Ovis aries: one gene and its partners. The main gene of each other region encodes a partner of the protein of the gene in region 5 in a complex. Links are inferred from orthologs where the notes say so. Each region holds a gene or a part of one and is shown on either strand. Other genes may lie near its edges.

Evidence for each region.
Region 1: SNRNP200 (region 5) and LSM7 share a complex: the UniProt entries of both Homo sapiens proteins name them as parts of the U4/U6-U5 tri-snRNP complex. The link is inferred for Ovis aries from reciprocal best matches to the Homo sapiens genes SNRNP200 and LSM7.
Region 2: SNRNP200 (region 5) and LSM8 share a complex: the UniProt entries of both Homo sapiens proteins name them as parts of the U4/U6-U5 tri-snRNP complex. The link is inferred for Ovis aries from reciprocal best matches to the Homo sapiens genes SNRNP200 and LSM8.
Region 3: SNRNP200 (region 5) and PLRG1 share a complex: the UniProt entries of both Homo sapiens proteins name them as parts of the minor spliceosome. The link is inferred for Ovis aries from reciprocal best matches to the Homo sapiens genes SNRNP200 and PLRG1.
Region 4: SNRNP200 (region 5) and TXNL4A share a complex: the UniProt entries of both Homo sapiens proteins name them as parts of the U4/U6-U5 tri-snRNP complex. The link is inferred for Ovis aries from reciprocal best matches to the Homo sapiens genes SNRNP200 and TXNL4A.
Region 6: SNRNP200 (region 5) and CWC15 share a complex: the UniProt entries of both Homo sapiens proteins name them as parts of the minor spliceosome. The link is inferred for Ovis aries from reciprocal best matches to the Homo sapiens genes SNRNP200 and CWC15.
Region 7: SNRNP200 (region 5) and U6 snRNA-associated Sm-like protein LSm3 share a complex: the UniProt entries of both Homo sapiens proteins name them as parts of the U4/U6-U5 tri-snRNP complex. The link is inferred for Ovis aries from reciprocal best matches to the Homo sapiens genes SNRNP200 and LSM3.

The regions. Positions count from the first base shown.
Region 1 is NC_056058.1:19,032,382-19,036,717, reverse strand, and holds the start of LSM7 (U6 snRNA-associated Sm-like protein LSm7), read right to left. Parts: upstream 2,903-4,336; 5' UTR 2,884-2,902; coding exon 2,878-2,883; intron 2,731-2,877; coding exon 2,640-2,730; intron 108-2,639; coding exon 36-107; intron 1-35. Other genes in the region: SPPL2B (signal peptide peptidase-like 2B), read left to right, coding at 2,903-3,109. UniProt on the Homo sapiens protein: Plays a role in pre-mRNA splicing as component of the U4/U6-U5 tri-snRNP complex that is involved in spliceosome assembly, and as component of the precatalytic spliceosome (spliceosome B complex).
Region 2 is NC_056057.1:84,396,294-84,400,669, forward strand, and holds the start of LSM8 (LSM8 homolog, U6 small nuclear RNA associated), read left to right. Parts: upstream 1-1,572; 5' UTR 1,573-1,637; coding exon 1,638-1,668; intron 1,669-2,821; coding exon 2,822-2,862; intron 2,863-4,376. UniProt on the Homo sapiens protein: Plays a role in pre-mRNA splicing as component of the U4/U6-U5 tri-snRNP complex that is involved in spliceosome assembly, and as component of the precatalytic spliceosome (spliceosome B complex).
Region 3 is NC_056070.1:3,079,926-3,083,566, forward strand, and holds part of PLRG1 (pleiotropic regulator 1), read left to right. Parts: intron 1-2,317; coding exon 2,318-2,467; intron 2,468-2,557; coding exon 2,558-2,659; intron 2,660-2,996; coding exon 2,997-3,099; intron 3,100-3,641. UniProt on the Homo sapiens protein: Involved in pre-mRNA splicing as component of the spliceosome. Component of the PRP19-CDC5L complex that forms an integral part of the spliceosome and is required for activating pre-mRNA splicing.
Region 4 is NC_056076.1:701,312-705,574, reverse strand, and holds the start of TXNL4A (thioredoxin-like protein 4A), read right to left. Parts: upstream 2,934-4,263; 5' UTR 2,855-2,933; intron 2,377-2,854; 5' UTR 2,362-2,376; coding exon 2,209-2,361; coding exon of another isoform or gene 2,130-2,208; intron 499-2,129; exon of another isoform or gene 438-498; intron 140-437; coding exon of another isoform or gene 70-139; intron 1-69. UniProt on the Homo sapiens protein: Plays a role in pre-mRNA splicing as component of the U5 snRNP and U4/U6-U5 tri-snRNP complexes that are involved in spliceosome assembly, and as component of the precatalytic spliceosome (spliceosome B complex).
Region 5 is NC_056056.1:104,063,677-104,068,104, reverse strand, and holds the start of SNRNP200 (U5 small nuclear ribonucleoprotein 200 kDa helicase), read right to left. Parts: upstream 2,869-4,428; 5' UTR 2,739-2,868; coding exon 2,694-2,738; intron 2,170-2,693; coding exon 2,006-2,169; intron 484-2,005; coding exon 312-483; intron 1-311. UniProt on the Homo sapiens protein: Catalyzes the ATP-dependent unwinding of U4/U6 RNA duplices, an essential step in the assembly of a catalytically active spliceosome. Plays a role in pre-mRNA splicing as a core component of precatalytic, catalytic and postcatalytic spliceosomal complexes.
Region 6 is NC_056068.1:15,092,371-15,096,651, reverse strand, and holds the start of CWC15 (spliceosome-associated protein CWC15 homolog), read right to left. Parts: upstream 2,927-4,281; 5' UTR 2,777-2,926; exon of another isoform or gene 2,326-2,776; intron 1,557-2,325; 5' UTR 1,534-1,556; coding exon 1,403-1,533; intron 764-1,402; coding exon 651-763; intron 52-650; coding exon 1-51. UniProt on the Homo sapiens protein: Involved in pre-mRNA splicing as component of the spliceosome. Component of the PRP19-CDC5L complex that forms an integral part of the spliceosome and is required for activating pre-mRNA splicing.
Region 7 is NC_056080.1:116,710,604-116,713,188, reverse strand, and holds U6 snRNA-associated Sm-like protein LSm3, read right to left. Parts: upstream 1,233-2,585; 5' UTR 1,220-1,232; coding exon 911-1,219; 3' UTR 608-910; downstream 1-607. UniProt on the Homo sapiens protein: Plays a role in pre-mRNA splicing as component of the U4/U6-U5 tri-snRNP complex that is involved in spliceosome assembly, and as component of the precatalytic spliceosome (spliceosome B complex).

The DNA of each region.
Region 1 (4,336 bases), on a different chromosome or scaffold from region 5:
GGAAGGATGCTTCCGAGCCCTGCAGCTGCACTCACCTCGCATGTACTCGATGGTGCCGTCCAGCACGAGGTTGAGCAGCGGGTCGAACCCTTTCAGGATTCCACTGGCTTATCGGAATCACCAAGCAGAGAAGAGAGATGGACAAGCATAAGATCAATGGTCATTCTGGGTAAAGTGCGAGCTGCACGAGGGTGTCAGCACATGAAATTGGGGTGCCCTCACTGGTGAGGGACCACCCCCCAGCCAGACGCAGGCGTGGCAGCAGCCTCTTCAGGGACAGGACAGATGCAGGACCAAAGGGGGAGCAAGGGAAGGGCTCCCAGGAGACGAGCAGTGACAGCTGACCCCACACCATTGCCACTGCAACAGTCGGCAAATCCGCCTGCGCCTGTTTTGTAAACAGTTTAACTAGAGCCCGGCCCCGCTCATTTGGTAAATGTCGCTGTGGCAGCTCAGCTGCTGAATGGTGGAGTTGAGGAGCTGCGACAGAGACCGTCTGGCCAGCACAGCTGAAAATGTTCCCTGTCTGGTCTTCTGCAGAACAAGTCTGCCAGGCCTGCCTGAGTGCGAGGCCCTGGCTCTGCTTCCTCTGCTGTTGACAGCCCTCCTCAACCCTGTGACGGTGCTCACCAAGTGGGGTGATGGAGAGTGACAAATCCCAGAATCCATCTGGGCACTTGGCCCCGGGTTGGGTAGTGAGCCCACACCTGTGGATCCTCCCTTCTTACTGGGGGAGGTGCCGCAGCAGGTGGGTGGGATTTTCAGATGAATCCAGCATTCCCCCACCCCTCCCTCTGATGTGAGATGGGACCCTCGATCAGACGTCAGTCTGTGGTCAGGCTGTAACAGAGGGCTTCGTGGATGTGATCAAGGTCCATGAATCAGTCCACTCTTAGTGGATCTAAAGGGAGGCTATGCTGGGTGGGCCTGACCTACAGGTGAGCCATTAAAAGGATGGGCCCTTTCTGAAAAGAGAAGTTGAAAAAATTAGATTTTTCTGCTAGCCTTGAAGGAGTCAACTGCCATGCTGTGGACAGTGTCTGTGGCAGAGGCAGTGGGCAGCCTCTAGGAGCCCAGAGGGTCCCTGGCCAACACTTGCCAGAAAACGAGGACCCCGGGCCTGAGATACAGGCTCCCAGAGATGCTCCCTTACTGCAACCTCGTCAGAGACCTGAGCCTGAGGCACCTGGAGTCTGGAACCACAGGTGCTGTGAGATAAAAATGGGTTGTTGAAGCACAGAAAATGAACAGAAGGGACTTCCCTGGTGGTCCAAGTGGTTAAGAATTCATTCTGCAGTACAGCAAATGTGGGTTCCATCCTTGGTCTTACATTCCATGGAGCAACTAAGCCCATATGGCATAATTAGAGAGACCTGGCCTGACATCTGAGACCTTATGCAGCTAAATTAATTAAAAAAAGACAAACACAAGCGCCTTGAGAAGCAGGAGCCCCATCTCCTTGTACATCCCAGAACCGGCATGGTGCCAGTGTTTGTTCAGATTCAGAGCCTCACTGGGCTGGGTACCTAGACGGGCAGGCACTGTGTTTTTAGCCACTCTGATGCTACCCAGGCGTCCACATCTCAGAGGAGGAGTCGTCTGAATCACCATCTTACCAACAAAGAAACTGAAGATCAGAGATAGCTGAATAAGTGAAGCACTGGGTGCTGACTAAGTGTCAGGAACTTGGCTAATGACATTACCCTTTAATTTCACCACCACTGCTGAGGTAAGTGGAGTTAACAGCCTCTGACAGATGAGACAGACTCAGAGATTATAGCGACTTGCCCAAAGTCCCACAGCCAGTGAGCTGGGGCTCTGCCCTGGACGGCACTCTCCACGTAACCTTGCATCATCTTTCCTGCCAGTCTCCTCACGAGATCGCAGAGGGAGATGCAGTTAAAGCCTCACAGTAACTGAAAAAAACCTGCCAAGCCCTGACAGCTGTTACCAGGAGCTTATACCAAAGGACCCTGACTTGGGATGCAGAGTCAAGCAGAGCTTCCCAAAGCAGCTGAGAGCTGCCTGCCTCACTCAAAAGCAAAAGGCTCATTCTTTACCCTGGAACAGTGGTGAACAAGGAGATGAGGTTTGCTTTCAAAAGGTGCCTCAGGTGGCTTCGTGTAAATTGAGTATAGGGCCTGGGTTCTCAACTGGGGCAATTCTGCCCCTGCCAGGGAACACCAGGCCAGGTCTGGGATGCCTGTGGTCATCAGAACTAGAAGGCTCCTGGAATCGAGTGGATGGGACCAGAGATGCTGCTCCACACCCTACAGCGCCCAGGACGGCCCCCTACAGAGAACAATACGGTCTTAATGTCAGCAGTGCTGAAACTGAGAAACCCTGGTGCTGAGGGGGCCCATGGGGGGCTGGGGCAGCCGCCAGGGTGAGACAAGACCCAAAGGAAGCAGAGACCTGAATCCTAGCCCCTGTGGCTGCGGGCGAGGTTTGGGCCCCTTTGCGTGCCTCAGTTTTCCCACCTGCAAAAGGGGTGTAACCGTTCCTATACGCCGGCGCCGGCAGCAGGCCGGACGAGTTGTCCGAGCCAAGCGCCTAAAGCGCGGCCCAGGCATCCGTTACCGGTACCGCCTCCCGTTACTCCTCGTGGACTGTGGAGGGGGAGGGCAGCGGGGCCTCACCTTCTCTGCCTCCCTGGAACTTCACTCGGATGGTCTTGTCGATGTACTTGGATAGATCCAAGATGCTCTCTTTCTTTTTCTTCTCTTTGTCCTGCAGGGGATGCAGAACGCTGTGAAGCGGGGAGCACGGCTGGACTCTCCCCAGTCAACCCCACCAGCCCCGCGAACCCCGCCAGCCCGGCGAACCCCGCCAGCCCGGCGAAACCCGCCAACCCCACCAGCAGCGCCGCACGCTCACCGCCATCTTGTCGCGCCGCGTCGCTATGCGCAGGCGCCGCCACTGCGCCCTTTGTACCTACCCCTGCGCGCATGCGCGAAAGACGCAGGGCGCCTGCGCGGCGCTCTGCGCCGGGGCGTTGCTGGGAAACATCTGCCGACGCCTGTGGCGGGGACCGGGCGACATGGCGGCGGCGGCAGCGGCGGCGGCGCTGGCGCGGCTCGCAGCGGCCTTCCTTCTCCTCGCGGCCCAGGTGAGGGCGGCGCCGACCCCGTTGGCCTCGCCGGCCACGGTGCCCCGGCTTCTCACCCCTCCCTGGCCCCGCGCAGAACCCCGCCCTGACCGGCCTGGGGCCAGCTTAGGGGATCCGCGCCCCCGGTGCCGGCAACCCGTGGGCCTGGGGCCCGACCGTGACCTTGCGGGTCTGTCCCCCGGCCGGTCTCCCTTCTCTGTCTGGACGCCGTTCCCAGCCGTGGTGTCACTGGGTTCCGCCCGGACCTAAAGTTTTAGGTCCCACTACCCCGCTTCCGCCCCGGCCCCTGCTGGTCTGTCTCGGGGTCTCCAACCGCCTCTGGGACTCCCCTCTCTGACTCCGTGGCCTTAGTCGGGGGCTACCCCTCTCTGACCCTGGCATCCCCTTGAAAGCGATACTACCCCCATTCCCCGTGGTTGTAGTCAACTGCCCAGCGTGGCACCCAGTGACTGGCGGCGTCGAGAAGCGTCCAGGAGCCCAGCCCTGGAATGGGGTCGAATCGCCGCCCCATCTTTTTCTGCCGTGACCTTGGCAGGGGAGTTCCCGCTTTGAGTTGGTCGTCTGCAAAAGGAGGATAAGTGTACAGTGCGCAGTCAGCGAGATGATGTAGGGGATCCCGGACGTGGGGCATGCTACTTGTTTGTCACTTAACCTCAAGGGTCGCCACTGGGGGACAGACCTGGAGATGGCTGATGTACGTTACCTTGAGTGCATTTTTTATTTTCCAAACCCTCCCTCTCTCCCAAATTCCATAACTCCGGAAATGGTGCCCCCCCCACCAACAGCCCTACAAACTGGGCCATTAACGTTGCCCTTTCTGTGCCAGCCCCCCAACCTCTGCTTCAGGCTGCTGGCTTCTCTCCAAGGCCGCTTTTGTCCCCCAAACTCCCAGTTCATTTTCAGCCCTGCAGGAGGGATCTCTTTCAAAGTGTGTCAGATCTTGTGTCCAAATGAGAGCTTTCTGGTGCCACTGACACATTCAGGAGGACTCTGTGATCCGGCTGACAGGAAACCATCCTTTGTTTCCAACTCTAGCATATTAAAGGCACTTTGCTCACTGGGCTCTGTTTCCCTGAAACCTAACTCCCTCCAACGTTGTGTTTCTGGTCTCAGCTTAGGGGTGCCACATTCCAGCAGCTTTCTGACCCACCTCCTCCCCAGGTGCTTTGCCAGCTCCCTGTATTTCCCCCAGCCCTATTTGCTCGTCTCCCTCAGCAGTCTGACCCA
Region 2 (4,376 bases), on a different chromosome or scaffold from region 5:
TGCTGCTTATTTAGCAAGCTCTTCCATAATCAGTCCTTTCCAGGAATAAGCAGCGGACCTGCCAGCCTTTTAAAAGTAACTGATTTTATAACCTGAGGAGAGGGAAACTTTGGGGTGTGGTGAAAGACTGTTTCCTAAGGAAGACTCACACTCTACCATTTGGATTCAGTCCCTATTAGCTCAGACTGTCAAGCATCTGACTCAGTTCAGTCGGTCAGTCGTGTCCGACTCTTTGTGACCCCATGAATCGCAGCACGCCAGGCCTCCCTGTCCATCACCATCTTCCGGAGTTCACTCAAACTCACGTCCATCGAGTCGGTGATGCCATCCAGCCATCTCATCCTCTGTCGTCCCCTTTTCCTCCTGCCCCCAATCCCTCCCAGCATCAGTCTTTTCCAATGAGCGTCTGCCTGCTGCTGCTGCTGCTGCTGCTAAGTCGCTTCAGTCGTGTCCAACTCTGTGCGACCCCATAAACAGCAGCCCACCAGGCCGGGGTTCTCCAGGCAAGAACACTGGAGTGGGTTGCCATTTCCTTCTCCAATGCATGAAAGTAAAAAGTGAAAGTGAAGTCGCTCAGTCGTGTCCGACTCTTAGCGACCCCATGGACTGCAGCCCACCAGGCTCCTCCGTCCGTGGGAGTTTCCAGCAAGAGTACTGGAGTGGGTTGCCATTGCCTTCTCCAGAGCGTCTGCCTACAATGTGGGAAACCCGGTTTTGATCCCTGGGTCCGGAAGACCCTTTGGAGAAGGAAACGGCAACCCATTTCAGAACTCTTGCCTGGAAAATCCCATGGACGGAGAAGCGTGGTAGGCTACAGTCCACGGGGTCGCAAAGACTCTGACACGGCAGAGTGACAAAATGAATGAGTGACAACGCCGCCGCGATGCACCATTTAAAAATTTTTTTTAACAACAAAAACATTTGTATTGGGGTATAGCCCATTCACAATAACAATGGTTGATAGTTGCGGGTGAACACGATGCAGCACTTTTAGAAGCAAATGCAAACTGCGAACATGCTTTTAACTACTGACTTCTCCAGATATGTATACCATACGGTACAACTGTGGAACTTTGTCCGGGGTCGTTTAGCTTCTAAAACGTTAATTTTCGGCCTCTGCAGTACAAAATTAGGGATTCCACATCCGGGCGTCTACACTTCATACCAGAACAGCACTAGTCTCTACTTCACTTGTGGGGAAAAAAACACACACAACAAAAACCTTATTCGGTTTTCTCCTGCCTTCCCCATCTTCTCTCAACATTTCCCCTTAGTAACTTCTGCCACTAAAGCCTTCCATTCCGCTATGAAGCGCGCTCGCCCACCTTCTCCCCATCTTCAGGGAGCTTCTTTCTTTCTTTCTCCCACCGCCCGTTCTCTTTGGTTCTTTCCGGCTTCCAATATCACCCGCAAGAGCAGAAACATACTGCACACGCGCATTAAGGCCGTCGTCGCTTTGCATCTCGGGAATGCTTGGCCGGTTTCTTTCAGTCTCTGATTCGCGGAGGCCGCCCTGCGGTAGTTCTCGCGGTATTTGCTGCCGCCAGTCGGCGAGAGAGGCTGCTGTTCCCTGGCGGTCCTTTCTAGCTCATCTGGACGCCGGGGCTCTTGTGTTTCCAGTTGCCAGGTCGCGTATCATGACGTCCGCCTTGGAGAACTACATCAACCGTACCCTTCAGTCGGCTATCGCGGGCATTAGCTAAGGCCTTGGTGAGGCCCACGTCTGGCCCCGGAGTGGACCAGTGCTGGAAAGGCCAGGGGTCGGGATCGGCGGGCGGTTGGGGCACCGAGCCACTGACGGGCTTGGGTCTCGGGGTGGGGATACAGAGGTTAAGGAGGCTCACCCCTGGGACTGGAGCCCGCAGCTCCTGCTGGTCCAAGGCGTCTTAACTTGATGGAAAAGCCGAGCAAAACCGACAAGATTATTCTGAACTTTTCCGTGTCTCTATAGAAATCAGTTATTGATTCACCCTTTCCATTTCCCTCGGGCCTATACGTTCACGTTTGGGAATAAGATAGTTTTACCAGCTGCGACGGTGGACTCACAAATCTATGTGTTTGTTTTATTCATAGGCTTTGCTCAGTCTTCAAGGATAGCAGAAACTTTACAGATGATGCAAAAATCGAATGTCTGCCCCTTTACCAGCTGAAATCTCAACTTTATTGTTGATGGAATTAAAATAATGCTTGCTGTTGTAATAGATCGGCTTGTGGGGCAAATAGCTTTAAAAAGCTCCTGTAATAGTACTCTATGCACCATTTTAAAGTCTCGGGACAGAAACATTACGTTGTGCTCTCATGTACAAATTTGGGACAAAAGTGGAATGCTAAAGGTTTTTCTTTTTAAATGATGCAAGCATATTGATACTTGTGATATTGATTATAGTTTCTTTTGAATTCCAGAAGGCAGGTCCTAGAAGACAGTGTCTTAACGTATTAAATCATTTGACATTGAATAGCACTCATCCAATTTTCGTTTCAGAGATGATGAAACAGGTTTAAAAAAAGGAAAAATATCTTGCTCAATTTTCATATTTGCAATATTCCCTCATTAAAAATGAGTACCAAACATCCCAGCTTGTTTTAAGATAGAATACACTGATCTCATAAAAAGGATGTTTTCTATTTTTCCTTTTTTAGATTGTGTAGTTGTCACAGAGAATTAAGAACATACAATTTTATGTTGTAAATGTGGCTGTGTTAAATAGTTGTATCTTAATTCTGTCACCTTTTTTCCTAGTAATTTAAGCCATTTACTTACCAGATTTTAAGTTTTCAGTTTGCATTCCCTTAGAAATGCTTTCCTTGATTCAGTTATCAGGAACTGTTGCTGTCATTACTTCTGATGGGAGAATGATTGTGGTAAGTATTTGGTGTATTCATTCTCTGCTTTCTTTTAGGCTTTTCTGCCTGTGATGCTCAGTTGTCCCAGACTCTTTGTGACCTCCTGAAGTGTAGCCTGCCAGGCTCCTCTGTCCATGAACTTTTCCAGGCAAGAATACTGGAGTGGGTTGCCATTTCCTGCTGCAGAGGATTGTCCCAACTCAGAGATCAAACCCGGATCTCCTGCGTCTCTTGCATTGGCAGGTGGATTCTTTGCTGCAGTGCTACTTGGGAAGCCCACTCTTGAAGGCTTACTGGTTGTAAATTTTTATGTACAACCTCTGATCTCCAGTGCCTAGGCACCAGAGTACACCTGCATTGCAGTTTTCTTATGATTCAACTCTTTATCTCTTTGATAAATAGCTGCCAATCCGTTTTTTTTTTTGTTTTTTTCATTAATAAACATTGGCTGTAAGTTACATACAAGGCTTCTTCTAGAAGCTTGGATGAATAACAGAATCTGCCCTTAGAGAACTTCTGGTCTAGTCTGCAGATATTTGTCTATATTTTGTATTTATCTTGCTTCATCTTTTATTTCCTTCCTCATTTAGTGCTCTGACATCTACTACATGAATCATACAGGTTGTTTTTTTTTTTTTTTTTTTAAATGTGTGTGTGTGCTTTTTGGAAACTTTTAAAAAAGATTTAGATACTACCTCTATATAATGAACATTTAAGACATGTACATTGTTAATCTTCAGATATTCTTAGGTTGTAGAATCTCGTGCTTCTGTAGAATAAATTATGATGAATATTGAAGTGTATTTCATCTCATTTTTCCTTTTATCGCTGTATCCCATTTTAATTCCAGAAAAGTCTTGGATTCTCTCCTTGATCTGAGGAATTTATTCCATGATTTTTGGTGGCTTAATTTCATTTATAATTCATGATTGTTAACTTTCAAAAAAGTTTTAAGGCTGCTAAACTTTATTGTCTTCTATAATTCATAGAATTTGTTCTTCTATCTTCCTACTCTGCAACTGATGTTTTTTTCTTTTTAATCCTTGGGGTTTTTCTCAGTGGGTCCTTAAGTGGCAATTACCAAGTGTCAGACTTTGCCATTTATTAAACATGTGTCATGTACCAGGCATGTCCCGTGTGTTACATCACTTAATCCTAGTACAACTCTGTGAGGAAGAACTAGCCCTGCATTCTAAGCTAAGAACCTGGATCAGAAAAAGAGTCACTTTCCCAGAGTCATATGAATGTATGTGGCAGAGCCAAACTGGGATTTAAACTAAATTTGACTCCAAAGCCTAAGGCCAGTCGCCTTGCTTCCTTTTTAATCAAGAGAGCAGTCATGGTTTTGTTTATTTTTTTAAGGTACTTCACATTGTATTTTGTCAAATTAAGAGAGTTTGAAATATTTTAATCTCATCTTAACTTTGAGAAGTTATAGCTATTAAGAAATATTTGCAAATAGTTTTTTAGTTTGTGGAAACCTTGGGTTTAAAATTTTTTTTTAATGGTATAGATGATAAATTGGAAATTTG
Region 3 (3,641 bases), on a different chromosome or scaffold from region 5:
TTAGAAAGCATCACTACAAACAAAGCTAGTGGAGATGATGGAATTCCAGTTGAGCTGTTTCAAATCGTGAAAGATGATGCTGTGAAAATGCTACACTCAATATGCCAGCAAATTTGGACAACTCAGCAGTGGCCACAGGACTGGAAAAGGTCAGTTTCCATTCCAGTTCCAAAGAAAGGCAATGCCATAGAATGCTCAAAGTACTGCACAATCGCACTCATCTCATATGCTAGTAAAGTAGTGCTGAAAATTCTCCAAGCCAGGCTTCAGCAGTATGTGATCCGTGAACTTCCAGATGTTCAAGCTGGTTTTAGAAAAGGCAGAGGAACCAGGGATCAAATTGCCAACATCCACCGGATCATGGAAAAAGCAAGAGAGCTCCAGAAAAACATCTATTTCTGCTTTATTGACTATGCCAAAGCCTTTGACTGTGTGGATCACAATAAACTGTGGAAAATTCTGGAAGAGATGGGAATACCAGACCACCTGACCTGCCTGTTGAGAAACCTATATGCAGGTCAGGAAGCAACAGTTAGAACTAGACATGGAACAACAGACTGGCTCCAAATAGGAAAAGGAGTACATCAAGGCTGTATATTGTCACCCTGCTTATTTAACTTATATGCAGAGTACATCATGAGAAACGCTGGGTTGGAAGAAGCACAAGCTGGAATCAAGATTGCCAGGAGAAATATCAGTAACCTCAGATATACAGATGATACCACCCTTATGGCAGAAAGTGAAGAGGAACTAAAGAGCCTCTTGATGACAGTGAAGGAGAAGAGTGAAAAAGTTGGCTTAAAACTCAACATTCAGAAAACGAAGATCATGGCATCTGGTCCCATCACCTCACAGGAAATAGATGGGGAAACAGTGGAAACTGTCAGACTTTATTTTTCTGGGCTCCAAAATCACTGCAGATGGTGACTGCAGCCACGAAATTAAAAGACGCTTACTCCTTGGAAGGAAAGTTATGACCAACCTAGATAGCATATTCAAAAGCAGAGACATTACTTTGCCAACAAAGGTCCATCTAGTCAAGGCTATGGTTTTTCCAGTGGTCATGTATAGATGCTAGAGTTGGATTGTGAAGAAAGCTGAGCACTGAAGAATTGATGCTTTTGAACTGTGGTGTTGGAGAAGACTCTTGAGAGTCCCCTGGACTGCAAGGAGATCCAACCAGTCCATTCTGCAGGAAATCAGCCCTGGGTGTTCTTTGGAAGGAATGATGCTAAAGCTGAAACTCCAGTACTTTGGCCACCTCATTCGAAGAGTTGACTCATTGGAAAAGACTCTGATGCTGGGAGGGATTGGGGGCAGGAGGAGAAGGGGACGACAGAGGATGAGATGGCTGGATGGCATCACTGACTCGATGGATGTGAGTCTGAGTGAACTCCTGGAGTTGGTAATGGACAGGGAGGCCTGGCGTGCTGTGATTCATGGGGTCGCAAAGAGTCGGGCACAACTAGTGACTGAACTGAACTGAAAGCTTTTTCTGTATTTTAAATTTTCTGTATTGTTTTTCTGTATTTTCTGTATTGCTTTGTTCTTGTTTGCCAGAAAAAGTATTAAAAGGTCAGACATTCTTGAAGTTGATATCCAAAAGTTAAATTATTTTCCAAACTGGGTGAATTGATGCTTACAGCATATGAGAGGATCCTTTTCAGGACATTACTTACGTTTCTTCGAAAATACCTACTAATATGATGGGCTCCCCTGGTGGCTCAGCGGTAAGGAATCCGCCTGCAGTGTAGGAGATGTGGGTTTGATCCCAGAGTTGGGAAGATCCCCTGGAGGAGGGCATAGCAACCCAGTCCAGTTTCTCGCCTGGAGAATCCCATGGACAGAGGAGCGTGGCAGGCTACAGACCATAGAGTCGCAAAGAGTTGAACGTGACTGAAGCAACTTAGCACACTAATATAAGTAGAAAGGAATATCTAATCTTTAAAAAGGAAAACTATATATAAAATTTGTAGTGAGGTTGAACTTTTTAATACTTTATTTGCTACTTTGCAGGATTTTTTTTTTAAGTTGATGCCATCCTTGACTAATTTAATACCTCAGTATTCATTCTTTGGCTCAATACCCTTTATATATTAAGGACTTTTTGTCATCTATGCAAATACCTTCCCAGTTTGAGCATGCCTTTTAATTCTCTTTCTCCTGTTTTTATTTTTGGTGATAGAGTTATTTTGCAAACTTTGATATTTTTATATGTTTTTGTCTTTCACTTTTGAAGACAATTTTCACATTAAGATTCTAAACATTTGCTTTGAAATAATCAGCAAGAATAAAATTAAGCATTTTTTGATTGCAGATCTGGGACTTGGCTAGTGGCAAGTTGAAACTCTCGTTAACTGGGCACATAAGCACAGTACGTGGTGTGATAGTGAGCACGAGGAGCCCGTACCTGTTCTCCTGTGGAGAAGACAAGCAAGTCAAATGCTGGGATCTCGAGTATAATAAGGTATGTGTGGAGTTGAGGACAGAAATCATCATGAGCCCCTGTTTATCTTCCCAGTTACAGATATGTTAACTCTCCTCCCTTCTTTTTTAGGTTATAAGGCACTATCATGGACATCTGAGTGCCGTGTACGGCTTGGATTTGCACCCGACCATCGATGTGCTGGTGACCTGTAGCCGAGACTCAACCGCACGGGTGAGTGCACTGGAGCCCGTCTGTGCATACACGGCCTCCTGCAGGGTGCTGGCTCGATCCTGAGGTCTGTGTTTCTGGATAGAGAATTTCAAGATCCTTACTTTGACCCGTCAGTATCCCTCCTAGTCTTCATCCCCAGCTCTGTGGCCTCGCCATGTCCACTGTTGGGCGCCTGCCCCCGAAATGTGACAGGTTATTTCATTTACACACTTTCTTCATTCTATTCAGACAGGTCCACACAGTTTTCTAGTCAATTCCCATGCTTGAATTGATCTTGTTACTTGCCTGAAGATAGGAATACCTGTTTTCATTGAGGTATTGTGTGCTGTTTTTATAGATTTGGGATGTGAGAACTAAAGCCAGTGTACACACATTATCTGGACATACTAATGCGGTGGCTACAGTGAGGTGTCAGGCTGCGGAACCACAAATTATCACTGGTATGATCCATACTTCTCAAGTTTACGGTATATTCATATCAGGATGCATTATGGTTATATACTTCTTATGTTTACTCTGATTCTTGCTTTGTGTTGTATATTTAGTGTTTCTGTGTGCACTTGAAATTTATTGTGGTAACATTTAATTCTGTTTTTATATCATAAGTTTTATATATCATAGAATCTTTGTATCATGTAATGTCTGACTAGAAAGTAGTGCTGTTAGATACAACTAAGTGCTGTTTTATACTTTCAAAATTAGCAGTCTAAGAAATTAATGTTAGAAGACGCACTACCCCTGACTTTTAGGACTGATCTGAGTCTTGCTTTGCTTAAAATATGGTTAATAGCAATGAATCTTCAAGACTAGAAAATAATTCCTTCCCTTGTTTTGTTCAAATAATCATGAGAGTCTTTGCCTTCCTCTCCACTAGGAATGACGTTATGCATTTGTCTTCACAGTTGTTCTGGCTCTTCAGATTAAGCGTTGATTACATTTAATAATTAAAATCAACCAGGTATTTTGAAAGAATAGAAAGCAG
Region 4 (4,263 bases), on a different chromosome or scaffold from region 5:
CAGTCAATAAAACACATTCCAGGAGAATAGTATAATCAAGTCCAGCCTCAATGTTGGAATTTTACTCACTTTAAAACAGCTGGGGTATCCAAACAGAGCTCGTAACAAGATGAGGAAGATCTCCCATTATCTGCCATTTCTGCAGAGGGAGATAGACAGTTAAATTGTTCTTTATACTAAAACCTTAGATTTCAAAAATTCCTGTTGAACGTCCCCAAAAAGGGCTTCCAAAATTATAAACTCATATTCTGCCCTTACACTAAGCAGAAAATAGAACATTAACATTTGTGTAACGCATTTCAAGTTTGCATTTTTAAAGACTATACTATTACATAGTATTAGAAGTTTATTAAAATAGAAATCGGGATAAAAGAAAAAGAATCACTTAAAAGACTAGAGAAAAATACTCCAAGTGAGCCCAATTAAACTGTTCTTACCAACAGGTTCCATTCCAAAAAGAGCCACCTGCTAGCAGTATAGCAATCTGGTCTCTGACCGCTACATAGGGATTAGAAAAGAACAATTCTGGTAAAAGTCCCTAAAAACTTACACTGACACAAAATCTGTCTCCTAGCTAAGAGTATCTTGCTGAGTTTTGCTCAGATATGAACAGCAAACAACCCTCACGCCTCTGCCATTCTAGCCTCGTGCTGAGGGCCACCGGGTCTGGACATCCCCTGATGCTTACTTGTCACCTGCAAGGCAGAACCCAGAACACCCACCTAAGTTACATCAGCGTCCACACAGCAGTGATTCACTTACTGAAACAGGGTCTTCATCCATCATCACTGACTTCTGCAGTCTCTGCCCTTAACCACTGTGGCTCAAGTCATGGGGAAATGACTTCTGGGCACCACCTCACTCCTGACCTCGGACCTGACAGGGAGGACCCAATTGGAAGAACCCTGCTCTCCTGAGTTCCCCAGGCATCTCTTCAAGCTCCCTCAACACCTTTCTGTCCAAGAGGAAGAGGAGGGTAAGGTTATCACCACAGACTCCTGCTCTGACTTGGATCTCCTTGAAGGGATTCAGAATTCCTGGGGGAGCTTCTGGATCTCATCTCAGATCTCCAGGATCAGACTCTCTGAGATGCACTTTCGGTGACAGACACAGAAAGATAGTCCCTAATGTTCAGAGTGCCATCACCCCTACCTCACTCTGCCTGTCCTACCAAAGAGGAGACAGTGAAAATTACTGATGGCAGGTCAGACTACTTTTCAATTCCTAAATACAAACTATATCCTTACACCTGTTACTCTTTACTCAAAGGAGTTATTTTAATCCAGCCCATACTAGCATATCTTACTCCTGTGAAATAAATGATGGCTTCAATGTTTCCCTTATTTTTATACTCTTTAATAAAATGAATAACCTCTCAAATTAACATTGAATATTAAACTTTTTATTAATACCCTAATATTTTTGCCTCTTGCCCTATTACTACAGTTGCAAAAATCTAAATCAAATTTACCTTAAAATACCCATGAGACAATTACAGAAAGAGAATTAAGCCCTAGTTACTCAACAGTACCCTACAATTGCTCTTTATTGTCAGCAAAGGGCCACAGACAACCCCCTGTACTAAATTTAAGGATTAGGAAAACTAGTTCTAACATTACAGTTCTACCTTTTCCCAGTGTTTCCTACACTGGTATCACTCTAAGCTATAAATCAAGTCACTTACAAAGAGCACCCTGGGGTAAAGAAGGGACTCAAAGAAAAAGAAGGGAATTTACTATGTTGTTACCATAGATGTTCTGCTCAATACATACAACAAACAAACACGGTACCAAAAAAAAGTCAAGTTTTTTAAACTAAGCCATTCAAAGTAAGCTCCTACACTCAGCCAAATGCTGCAAACGTGTTTTGCTCCTGGCACTATAGATGTAAATTTTTGAAAACACCTATGAGTTAAAACCGCTATAAATTAATAAGAATCACTTCTTCAAGGAGAGACATCATGAACCTCTTAAAAATTTGAGAATCTATGGAAACTTCTGCCAGTAAGGATATAAGCTATTCTGACCAATTTCAGGGAGCCCATCCTCATACTCCAAGGTATGTCTGTACTTCTGTGAATCCTACTGCTTCTCTTTAACCGGTGAACTGGCTGTACTTTTAATTCTTACCGGCAAAACAACAGCAATCCGACAGGATGCAAACACCAAACCTGGCGGCAGGACGTGACGGGAGGTGTGGCTGCTTTACCTTTTCAGCAATGCTGTACAGAACCTCATCCATCTTCATGCAGGTAGGGTCCCAGTCGTGCCCAAATCGAATGACGACCACGCGGTCTTCTTCCGAAAGGATGGCCTGATCAACCTGCCAGCCATTGTGCAGGTGCGGGAGCATGTACGACATCTTGAGCCAATGGGTCTGCGGGGGAGTGGAGGGAAATCACCGGCCAGTTCCTCCCAGCCCCCCCATGGCACACCCACGGGACCCCCCGCCCCACGGAGCCTCACCACGGGGGCCCCACCCCACGGAGCCTCACCACGGAGCCCACGGAGCCTCACCACCGAGCCCACGGAGCCTCACCACGGAGCCCACGGAGCCTCACCACGGAGCCCACGGAGCCTCACCACGGGGGCCCCACCCCACGGAGCCTCACCACGGAGCCCACGGAGCCTCACCACGGAGCCCACGGAGCCCCCGGCTCACGGGGGCTCACCCCGAGGGGCAGTCGATGCGCCGCCCGCAGGGCCAGGCCCGCGTCTACCAAGTTCCGACCCCGATCCCGCCACAGGAACGCCACTGTCCCCCGGCCAAGAAACCAAGGCGAGGGGACCCCTGGAATCGCACACCCGCGCATCACTCGCCGCCCCCTTCCCACCGTCTCCAGCCGCGCACCCACCTCTGCCCACACCGGACCCTCCCGCTCAGCAGTCCTTCCGGGCGCGGAGCGCTCCCACAGGCCGAGAGCGCCGGCGAGTGAGCCCGCCCGCCCACAGAGCGTGAGCGCCGGCGAGTGCGTGCGCGCGCCCGCAGAGCGTGTGCGCCGGCCAGTGCGTGCGCGCGCCCGGGCCGGGCAGGGGCGTGGACTCCGCTCAGGTACTGGGGCTGAAGGTGGGTTTAGTGTCATGAGCGTCTTAGAGGCGGCGGCTGCTTCAGACCTACTGTGTCTCCAGTGAGTCGGCGTTCAAGTTTCCTCGGTGCGACTGGGACCAGGGAGTGAACGAAGAGGATAACCTCTCTGAAGAAGGGCTCGTCGCCGTTCACTCCCACACAGAGCCCCCTAATTATTTTGGAGGCCCTGCTTTCCAGACGCAAGCACAGTTGCTTTACTTGTGAAAAGCGGTTCATTAACAGAAGAGTACTGGTAAGACGCAAATGCCCCCCAAATAAGTTATTGAAATTAGTATTTCTAAACATTTTTTGTTGTTCAGTTGCTCAGTCGTGTCCGACTCTGCGACCCCATGAACCGCAGCATGCCAGGCCTCCCTGTCCATCACCAACTCCCGGAGTCCACCCAAACCCATGACTATTGTGTCGGTGATGCCATCCAACCATCTCATCCTCTGTCTTCCCCTTCTCCTGCCCTCAGTCTTTCCCAGCATCAGGGTCTTTTCAAATGAGTCAGCTCTCCGCATCAGTTGGCCAAAGTATTGGAGTTTCAGCTTCAGCATCAGTCCTTCCAATGAACACCCAGGACTGATCTCCTTTAGGATGGACTGGTTGGAACTCCTTGCAGTCCAAGGGACTCTCAAGAGTCTTCTCCAACACCACAGTTCAAAAGCATCAATTCTTCAGTGCTCAGCTTTCTTTATAGCCCAACTCTCACATCCATACATGACTAATGGAAAAACTGTAGCCTTGACTAGACTGACCTTTGTTGGCAAAGTAATGTCTCTGCTTTTTAAAATGCTGTCTAGGTTGGTCATATTGTTATCGTAAAATTTAAATAGTATCAGTTCAGTCGCTCAGTTGTGTCCGACTCTTTGCGACCCCATGAATCACAGCACGCCAGGCCTCCCTGTCCATCACCATCTCCTGGAGTTCACTCAGACTCACGTCCATTGAGTCCGTGATGCCATCCAGCCATCTCATCCTCTGTCGTCCCCTTTTCCTCCTGCTCCCAGTGCTTCCCAGCATCAGAGTCTTTTCCAATGAGTCAACTCTTCGCACGAGGTGGCCAAAGTACTGGAGTTTCAGCTTTACCATCAGTCCTTCCAAAGAACACCCAGGGCTGATCTCCTTTAGAATGGACTGGTTGGATCTCCTTGCAGTCCAAGGGATCTCAAGAGTCTTCTCCAACACCACAGT
Region 5 (4,428 bases):
ACTACCTGGGCTCATACCCTAGCTCTGCCAAACACTACTTCCATGACTTGAGAAAGTTACTTAAGTATCCTTTGCCGCACATCCCTCCAGCAAAATAAAAAATGAATATTAATAGCACCAGGTCAGAGTTAACAAGACTGAAAGAGAGAACACACAAAAAGTGCTACGTCACGTAAAGTGAACACCAGCCACTTCCGCATATTGGTATGGCCCACACAGGAAAAATCCACAAACAAGGTTCCTCTGGGGCCTCCTAGCTATGACTTCCTCCCTCTCCAAAAACGCGTGGCTCCACCCTCTGGCTGCCTTACCTGGTCCCCAAGGGCAGCCTGGATGAAACTCAGCAGCACTTCATAGGTCTCCCGGGTCTCCTTGGTCTTGGGCTTGTAGATGATGCCCACCATCTCGTCGATGCCCTCTGAGAGCAGAGTGTAACCCTTCATCTTGTTGATGTCGTGCCGGTCCTCATCACGCTTTCTTCGCCTAACAAACACACAGTATGACACTGAACAGGTAGAACCTTCCCTGTTAATGGTAAGACTAAGGCAAGCCCACGCTCCCCTTCTCAGCTGCATGATTCACAGGCAGTATTTAAAACCACAAATGTGTGCCTCAGCAAATGATGCCCATCGGGCCTCAGTCACTTGCGGCAGTATCTCTACGGGAACACGGTAAGAGCAAGGGAATCCCGTCATCCTCTCACTAGATGCACTGCATGCTGAGACATCCCCCCCGTTCATTTAAAAAGACAACCCTTTCTACTTTGTATCACAACATTATATGATCGGATTTGACTAGTTTTCATCCCTCAGACACATCTTCCTTTCCCTGCCAGAGAACTGAAGCTCCAAAGGAATCTACTGCCATTGATTCCTGGAAAAGAAGTCATACTCTGCAAAATGGAGGACCAATGATAAGTAACTCATCTCAAATATAACTGCTTTAATCAAAACTGGACCTATGAATTTTTGAGACTTCATCATGGGACAGATGATGATCAGGCTCAAAGGATAACCATGAGATAAAGTTCAATGATTCTTTAAAGTCTGGAAAAATATCCCCCTTCCCCAAGGTAAAAAACCAACTAAAAAGCAAAACAAAACACCAGCCTTTCACGCTCAAATGGTAGTTTATAACAACAAAAGAAAAAGCAGGCAACAGCAAGCCAAAGAAGTAGCGGAAAGTCAGTAATAGAAGGAAAGACTTACTCTGACAAGAGTTTACCAAGAGTCTTGAAAATACCATCAAGAAAATTAAGATCTCTCTATGGATGTTATGACCAACCTAGATAGTATATTCAAAAGCAGAGACATTACTTTGCCGACCAAGGTCCGTCTAGTCAAGGCTATGGTTTTTCCTGTGGTCATGTATGGATCTGAGAGTTGGACTGTGAAGGCTGAGCGCCGAAGAACTGATGCTTTTGAACTGTGGTGTTGGAGAAGACTCTTGAGAGTCCCTTGGACTGCAAGGAGATCCAACCAGTCCATCCTGCAGGAGATCAACCCTGGGATTTCCTTGGAAGGAATGATGCTAAAGCTGAAACTCCAGTACTTTGGGACCTCATGAGAAGAGTTGACTCAACGGAAAAGACTCTGATGCTGGGAGGGATTGGGGGCAGGAGGAGAAGGGAACAACCAAGGATGAGATGGCTGGATGGCATCACGGACTCGATGGAGGTGAGTCTGAGTGAACTCCAGGAGATGATGATGGACAGGGAGGCCTGGTGTGCTGCGATTCATGGGGTCGCAAAGAGTCGGACACAACTGAGCGGCTGATGGATGAGAAACACATGCTGGAAAAGGGTCTAAAAGCTGTTTTCCACTTCAGGTACACTTGTTAAGGCCAAAGAATCTTTCCATTCTTATGTTGTTACCTTCACTGAGTTGTCTTAATGCCACTGATGGCTCATCCTGCACCAAGCAATTCAGCAAAAGCACTGCTCAAATACCAAGGGAAAATGGATTCTGCATCTGAGGAAAAATCATTTTTTCCCTTTGATACTCACTTAGCTCTTCTTTCCTCTTGCATCTGTGGTTTGGTTCGTTGAGCCTTATCTCCCATCCGGGTGCCCTCCAGCTTCCCCACCAGGGACAGCACTTCTCCTGTGGGTTCATCCCGGCGGGTCCGGTCAATGAGAGAGCGATCAGCTTGGAGGACAAGATTCGAGTTCTGAAAAGACCACAATATTATTGAAGCTCTGAGGTAAGCAGGACTCAACTATATCACAGGGTTGCCAGCTGACAGCAAAGGAAGAATCTGAGCGACTAAGTGTCGATAATCACTAGTCGAAATAAAAAGATGTTTTCCTTGAGAAGCGCATCGTATGATCGCGCATGAGCAAAGGGCAAACAAATCAACATAACAATCACTGCTTCTAATACTGCTCGTAATAACTCCCACGTGGGAAAAGTGTCGGGCACGTTGGGGATGATACATGGAAGGGGGCGGGAAGAGCGCTGCCGGGACTGGGACAAACACTCCTCGCAGAGCTCTTGGCCCACGCCGGTAAGAGCTGAGCCCCAATCACCAGTGGGGTCATTCACATCGCCGTGTACCCCCACCTTCGCCAGGTTCTGACTTCTCCTCTGCTTTCGCGGTTCTCGCGTTTACCTTTAGACTGAAACCCCCTTCCTCAGCCTCCCGCTCCCTATCAGACTCCCCCGCCCGGAGCCCTCTGCCGAGCCCATACGCACCGCTTTGTACTCGTACTGCAGGCTACGGGCGGTTACATCCGCCATGGCCGCGGCTGCTCAAGAGTCTCAGAACTCCGCTCCCAGGACCACACGCTAACAAACGGTGCCGGAACGAAGCAGGCGGGACGCACTTCGGCCGAAAGAGAGAGAGCAAGATGGTTTCCCTTCCACTTCCGGGTCGGACGCCGGAAGTGCAGGCGGGAAATAGACCGGGCGCTTGCGCTCCGGTTTGGGACCGGCGAATCCTGGTACCCTCGAACGATGGTTCCGGAACCACGGCCCGTACTCTCCTGGGCTCTGGCCTGCGGCTCCCAAAGACTTCCCACATCAAGCGAAACGTACGCCTGCTTAGCACCCTATCCTGTCCCAAGTGCTTTTTTAACCCCTTCTTCCTCTGGTAACAGTCCTATGAGCTATGCAGGCTAATGAGCCGGATTTCTGGCTGAGGGAACTCGCACCTTGCAACAGACTGAACCGCGCGTGTGCGCGTGCGTGCGTATGTGTGTTATCTTCCTTTCGGTTTTTCCTCTGTATTAAACAATTGATAACAAAGCTCTGTTCCTCACCTACCCCCACCTAGAACCCATGCTTCCGCGACCTTCGTTCTGGGCACCCAGGCGACTCCCCTTTGCCCCTAAATGCCTGTCACGTTCTGCAGGAGGGCCCTTTCCAAGGCCCCGGGAACATCAGGGAAGGAAGTAGCTGCCCTCCCGCCGGGGCCAACTCGTCGAAGACAGTGACTTAATTTCTTCTCCAACAATGAAGCGCCCCGCACCCCCATCCCCCGCCATGGAGAGGGGCAAGAGGCACCTCTGCCCTCCTACCACTAGTCAACCAGTTCTACTCTGTAAAAAAGACCCTGATGCTGGGAAGGATTGAGGGCAGGAGGAGAAGGGTTAGCTACACAGGATGAGATGGTTCGACGGCATCACCAACTCAATGGACATGAGTGTGCGCAAACTCAGGGACATAGTGAAGTGTAAGGTCGGACCCCGGGGGCCGTGATGGGCCGCCCCTCCGCTCCCTCCTGTCAGCGAGAAGGTCCCTAACGCAACGATCCTCCCAGATCCCGGGGACCATGACAGCACACTTCGCTGGTTGCCGTGATGAGCCGCCCCTGTTCTTCCCGGCCGGCGGGGGAAGTCCCGAAGGGAGGGCGCCTCCCGGATCCCGGGGACCAATGACAGCACACCTCGCCGGCTAAAGCCGCCCCACCCCAGCCACGCAGAAGGACCTGTCAGCCCGCGACGCCTCGCCCTGGCGACCTATCCAAACCCCCATCCATCTAGCCTGACCATCCCTCGCAACTAGCGTACAAAAGCCACCCGCAGCACGGTCGGGCGCGGACTTCCTCGACCTGCCTCCTTCCGGTCCGGGAACCCCGCCCGGGAGCGCTTCGCCATTAAAAAGCCTGTTAGACACTCTTTTCAGGGTCCTGGTCGTCTTTTACCTAACATGAAGGATAGGGAAGCCTGGCACGCTGCTGTCCATGGGATCACAAAGAGTCAGACACGAAGAAGACTAAGTAAGAACAATTAAAGACTGAACAATAACAGTTACGTGGAATGGTGATGAAGAGCTGAATGGTTACTTGGAGCCTGTTTGCTTTTTTTTTTTAATTGCTTTATTAACTACATTTTTTTCATGCAAATGGGTGAAACTTTACTGTTGACAGATACTTAGATTGTGTGCTAAGGCAATCTCCAGTTAGAGGCTGGTAACACAGAACCCACCT
Region 6 (4,281 bases), on a different chromosome or scaffold from region 5:
GAATCTGGTCCAACCGAGGCTTCTTTGACACTGAAGAGGAGGTTGTATGTTCTGGCAGAAAACAAACAATAGTTAACTCACTGAATCAAATCCTGCATTTCTTGTAACATTTTAGGGACTTGTGGGCACCAAGAGCTTAGGTCTTAAACATGACAGTAGGGACTATAACAACAGTGGCAGGCAAGTAAGTCCTTGACAAATACCTGCCGAATGAGTTAACAAAAGTATTGATTTTATTATGGAAACTGTAGCCTCAGGAAACTTAGGATACAGTTTACACATGCTAGAAATAAAAATGGAAGAATTTCATAGACAGAAACCATGGGGCCTTAAAAAGTCTGGCTGCTGTAAATAGTCAAAAACTCCTTAATCTGAATTGAAATAACAGTTGCTAAATATCCCCTAGCTCTTTCTAAAACAGAGGCATAATAAGATGAAATTGGTATCAACTTCATTATCATCTCTAATCCAATCCAATATAATCTAATCCAATCAATCCAATCCAATCTAATCTTTCAAGAAACTGCTATAGCTCTCACCCCACATTTAAAAGCAAACAAACAAAAATAATAATCCATTCCTATTACCACATGAAAGAAAAACTACTGTCAACATAATGTTATGAGAGATGTCTAAGGTAGTATTGGTACCTCGGGTTGGCCGATCTCTGTTTTTTTCTCTTGCAGCAGCTCTCTCTCTCTCCTCCAACTCTCTCCTGAAGTCACGGTTTCGAACTTCTTCAGGGGCATCCTGAGTGGTCTGTCTAAAGTAGAAACAAGACAAGGCAAAGTTACTTCTAAAAAACACACGGCTGTAGTAATGGAAGACAATTCAAGAAACACAACTTCAGCCTGAGTCCTAAAGCAGAAAACTCCACTAGGGGATAAACAAAATCATCAGTCTAATCCAAAAGTTACTAAGAGGCATCCTGTGATGTCTAAAACCTCACACTAAATCAACATACTTTTAAGAACCTCAAACTAAATCAACAACCTTTAAGAACCTCAAACTAAATCAACATACTTTCCCATAGTAAGGCAGCAGGTTGATCAAAACGCTTATACTTTTTGTTAGTATGCTAACTCAGGGCTTGTTACAGCAACACTTTTAATCTCATACTGATTTGTATTGATAGTGCTTGCTCCTCCTGACAGAATGTATTATTAGTCATTGTTCAATCTACATATAGAAATTCCTGGTTAACTGGAATTTCTGCTTAAGGAATATCTGGTAGCACTTTAAAATCATGGAGCATAATTCTGGGTGTCTGAAACACTACTACATTCTACTCCTATGAAAACAGATAACTTGAGTGATAGTAACCCCAACATGCTACCTCATGACCACATCATTTAACAGACTTGGTCTTGCTTGTGAAACAAAAACTAAAAGGCTTCATTACCTATATTTTATCTTTGTATGAGAGGGTAGGTCTCTGCTTGAATACTGCTTTGAGAGTTGGCTCAAATCACCCTCACCTTTTCCTCTTCCACCTCTTGCAGGTTCAAAAGTTGGCCGAGCTGCTGTTGTCATCTTTTATGCTTTGAAGAAAAACACTGTCAAGTTATTTTCAATATGACAAACTCTCATTTTGAAAAGCATTAATCTATAGCCATCCTTGTGAAATAATTTCCCTAGCTCATTCCCTCAAACATCTGTGACCCCTGGCAAGCCACCAAGTTTAAGTTTCTGTCATCTGTGAAATGGGGATATTCCTCAAAAGGTTATTAAATCAGGAGACGTGACATATCAAAACCTTTATAAAATACAGTACAGCCATGTCTGAATTTAAAACATCTCCACTCAACCTCACGCCACCGGACTCCTTACTCCCATTTCATCTAAACCTCACACAGCAGAACAGGCTAACAACTACAAAAGCAAAGACATCTTAAAAAAAAAATCACTGACAAAGTTACTGAGTGTTCTAGTAAAAAAAGTGTGTTAAGCTTCAATGACAGTTACATAGGCAAATATCTCCAACAATCTTTTGTTGATCAAATTTCCTCCAGTAGCAGCCAACATAATATAAATTAGATCTTTTCCAAGTTACAATTTAAGAAATGCTGGAAACACAAGAGCCCACCCTCAAAGGACTGTAATAACCAAAAATTAGGGACCCGTTTGTGGTTACTGAAACATCCTCAAGCGTCAGAGAAGCAAGTGTCAGGGAAAAACTGGGGGAAATGATATACTTCTCTAGATTTTCCGGGGAAAAAAAAAGGGAGAGGGATGTATCCAGAGAGACAGAAACAGGGTTTCAGGTCTCTGGGGAGCATCGCCGCCTCCCCCCCAAAACAGTCATCCCTGGGGCGGGGAGTTCACCTCCGGGCTGTCGCAGGGAACTCGCTGACTCTTCACCCCTATCCCAGGGGGCGAGGGGCGGCCCTCTGCCGAGATGCCTTGGCGCTGCGCTCTCGGGAGCCGATCGGAGACCAGGGACACGCTCGCTAGGCGCGGAGCCCCACCACCAGTTCGCAGCTCCACCGCCTCCTCCGCATTTACGGGCTCTCTGACTCCGCCCCCAGCTTCCCCTTCCGGCCCCACCGACAGATGGCTCTCCGGTCTGCAGCTCCTGGGCCTCCGCGGCCTAAACCCGGTTAGCTGACTCCGCCCCCAGCTGCCCCTTCCGGCCCCGCCCACAGGCCGCTTTCCCCGTCAGGCCCCTGTGGGGACCGCTCAGTCAGCACTGGATTCTCTGCCTCCGCCCCCAACTACCCCTTTCCGGCCCCACCCACACTAGGCTTTCCTCGTCTGGCGCCTCCAGGGCCCGCACCGAGTTCTCTGCCTCCGCCGCCAACTGCCCCTTACGGTCCAACCCACAGTCTGCTTTCCTCTTGCCGCTCACTTTGGCCGAACTCCAACGCCGCTACCTCCGGAGATCATACAGACGCCATCTTGACTCTCCGCTCCCAGAAACCTCTGCACCCGCGGCCCAAAAAAAAAAAAAAAAAAAATCCCAAGACCCGGAAGCAAACCCCAAGCTCGTCAGGCGCCCGCGGAGGCAAGGACCAGTCAGCGGAGACCAAGGTGGAAGTCGAAGTGACGACGCACGGGGCGGGGCTTAAACGGCCCAGGGGGCGGGCATTTGAAATCAGTGCTTTAGAGTAGACCCTGAACGTTGTTGTGTAGCTTCGAGAGTCAATTAATGTGTGTTCCGTCTTTTCCTTTTCCGACCCCCTCCCAGATTCCTTCATTCCGGTACTGCGTAAACGAAGAGCCCCGAGTAGCCGACACCAAGTCCCCGGCTAGCGAGAGAGCATAGAAAAGGATTACACCAAACTGTTTAAATCCAACGGCTCCTGCTTCCTTACTCCTGAGCTAGACCCAACAAGCCTAGAGAGTTGGGCTACGGAAAGTAGTATTTGCATTTAATTGGATATGAAGAAAGAACAAATATGTACGGGGGCAACCACGATCTTTATAAAGGTACCATTCCTGCAAAAATATTAGTCTTCACAACGAAGGTTGTATTCGTAACGTTCGTTAAAATATTTACTTTTTATAAAAGCCTAAGTTCTAGTGGGAGGGGAGGTGTCACTGTCGAGATTCATTTATATACTAACAGACATTGAACGTTTAGAACGGTGGCCCAACTGCCAGGAGCCCTAGATGCAGTTACTATTGTAAGATGGCTACTCATGCGTTAGGGAAAGTTTTCATAAGGTAACGAACAGGAAAATTAAAAAATCACCAATCGTCCTAACTCCTTCCCCCACCAAAAGCCCTCTGGGAGCATGGATTTTGTTTGCCTTTCCAGTTCAACTTGGTATCTAATCACATAATCCTTGGCCACAGTAGATGCTCAGTAGATATTTGTTAAACAAATGAAAATTGAACTCCCCCCACCTTAGTTTCAAATGTAAAGAGCTCATAACATCGAACAGAAAAAAGCTTTCCCCACCAACGCCCCCAGAACTCCTTGAACGTTAAATGAAACAAAGCATAGAAAAAGTCCCTTCCCTCATAAAATTCAAATTGCTAATCTTGATTTTTCTTACCAAAGGTATTAATTACTCTCCTAATCTGCCACATCTCAGTAAAGGACACTACTACCATCAGGCTAGTTACTCAAACCAGAATCCCAGCGCTCCTCTTAAATCCCTTTCCCTTCACTTTTCTCATCTAGTTTACTTGCAAGTCTTCCCAATTCTACTTTCAGCATATACCCCAAATTTCATTCCACTGCCTTAGTCCAAGCCAGCATCATTTTCTACCTGGATTGTAATTGTCCCCTAATGATCTTCTTGCTCCCACTTTTCTCCCACAGTTAACTTTGCC
Region 7 (2,585 bases), on a different chromosome or scaffold from region 5:
GCTCTCCCAAGACTTTCATTGGTATGGGAGCTAAAAGGGAACTAATATTTTCTATATCTACTATGTACAAGGTCTTTTTTATATACCATAACTCATTTAATCCTCACAACTATCCTGGGAGGTAGGTGGTGTTATCTACATTTTATAAACAAGAAAATCAAGGCTCATAAAATTAACTTCCACGAAGTCTCACATGTAGGAAGTGGTAGAGTCGAGATTCCATCTCCATTCCCATTCTTTTCAGAACACACACCTGCCTCTTCAAGAAGAGAGCTGTGGGACTTCTTGGGTGGTCCAGTGGCTAAGACACATGGCTCCCAATGCAGGGGGTTGGGGTTCAATCCCCATTCAGGGAATTAGATCCTACATGTCACAACTAAAAGAACCCACATGTCGCAACAAAATTGAAGATCCTGTGTGCCATAGCTAAGACCCAGGGCAAACAAACAAATAAATAAATATTAAGGAAAGAAGAGAGCTATATAGCTGATTCACTTTGTTGTACAGCAGAAACTAACACAACATTGTAAAGCAACTGTACTTCTCCCCACCAAAAAAAAAAAAAAAAAGAATTCAAAAGAAAGGAAGAGCTGAAAACATATGAATATTTTTTTAAGTTTTGTTTTTATTTTTTATTTTTTTTTATTTTTTTTATTTTTTATTTTTTTATTTATTTTTTTTTTTCTGTATCGCGCCGATCACATTTATTGGAAGGGTTGGAGAAAAATAAAAATGCCGTTTAGCTGAAGTATTTGTGAGTTATCTACAAATCAACTTATTTCAGGAGTGGAAGAATTCTTGCTTATTTTCAGCATCAAGATGCACATCGGTCTCTCTTTGGAACATCTTCCACACTCAAAGAGGCCACCGCACAGCACAGCCCGTCTCCCACAGGCGGCGGATTCTCGTTTCAGCCAACTCTCAATGGCGGGGCAACCAGCACAACGCCGTCTCCCCGCACAAAGAGCATCGGAATATTCCGTTTTGTTGATTTATATATTTCTTCATATGTTTCTTCATCAATTTCTATAGTTGTCACAGTTTCTTCCACATCTCCCAATATCATATTTAAATGTTGATCATAAGCGTGTAACCGGCCTCGAAGTTCTCTGTCGTTTCTCATCTTCACGTAGATGCGCTCGTCCAGGCTGAGCCGGATGAGATCCAAGGGCTCTTCCACAGTGTTGGTGGTTTGTTGCTGGTCCACGTCGTCCGCCATCTTTCAAACCCTCTTAAGTTTTGTTTTTAATGTGGACCGTTTTTAAAGTCTTTATTTGTTAAAATATTGCTTCTGTTTTATGTTTTTTTGGCTACAAGGCATGTGGGATCTTAGCTCCCTGACCAGGGATCTAACCCATATTCCCTGCAATGGAAGGTGAAGTCTTTCTTAACCACTGGACCACCAGGGAAGTCCCCACAAAACGCATTTTAATTGAGTGAAGAAAATAAAACATTTCATGTTTACAAAGACAAAAGACATAGCAAAGAACTTGTGGAAAAGCTGAAACCAAGAAAAATGAGATTTTTGGAAGTTGGAAGACAGACCTTGACCAAATGAGATCATCTTTAGGAAAGAAGTAAAGCCTGGATCCCAAATTCTCTACTGCGTTACCCAGTATTTTCTCACGTGATGATGTAGCAACCACTTGGTAATCATGGAGGAAAAGAATGACATCTGGAGCCAGGCCGACAAACCAGAGCCAGCCACGTAAGATGGTGCCGAATGAAAATACTAGCTTCCCCAAGACACTCAGAGATCTTTCCCCAGCTTTTGGATGGCAGAAGGCAACGACAGGGCTTGCAGCCAGTGCCCCAGCATCTTCCTCCTCACCCCTTTTGACTTTATTATTCCTGATAACCTGGTCATGCATATACAGCTACCAAACATTAAGTTTTCTTGAAGTCTCACAGCTTTGGGTTTTCTTACCAAGTCATGTGACTCAGATCTAGGCCTAGGAAGTAAACACTGTTTCCTGAATCTCAAATACCCACTCTACTTATGTTATTCTACACCTCCAAGAAGCTCTTGTCAAAACAAGATTAAACACGGCAAGATTTTATTAGGAGAAATGACTGTATGAAAGTAATTAACCTCCAATTAAAATAAATAAATTTATATTTAAAAAAAAAGAAAATAGAGAAGGAGCTGTGAGTGAAGCCTGACTGGTAAGGAGGGAAAGAAGAGAAAAGGATGTATGGAAGCAGTTGAGACTACCAGGCAGTCTAAGGAAACTTCTGCAAGACCTTGAGCCAAAGTTGTCCAACAAAGGAGTCCACATGTCTGCCTTAGTATCCCTGCTGTACTAAGTCATGGGTGCTTCCCTGGTGGCTCAGATGGTAAAGAACCTGCCCACCAATGCAGGAAACCCGGGTTCAGTCCCTGGGTGGGGAAGATCCCCTGGAGAAAGGAATGGCTATCCACTTCAGTATTCTTGCCTGGAGAATCCCATAGACAGAGGAGCCTGGCGGGCTACATGCAGCTGCAAAGAGTTGGACACGACTGAGCTACTGAGCACATTCATTACTGTGATTACTAAGGACTATCTCTCTTGCTAAATTTTAAACTCCACAGAAGCAGAGACCAT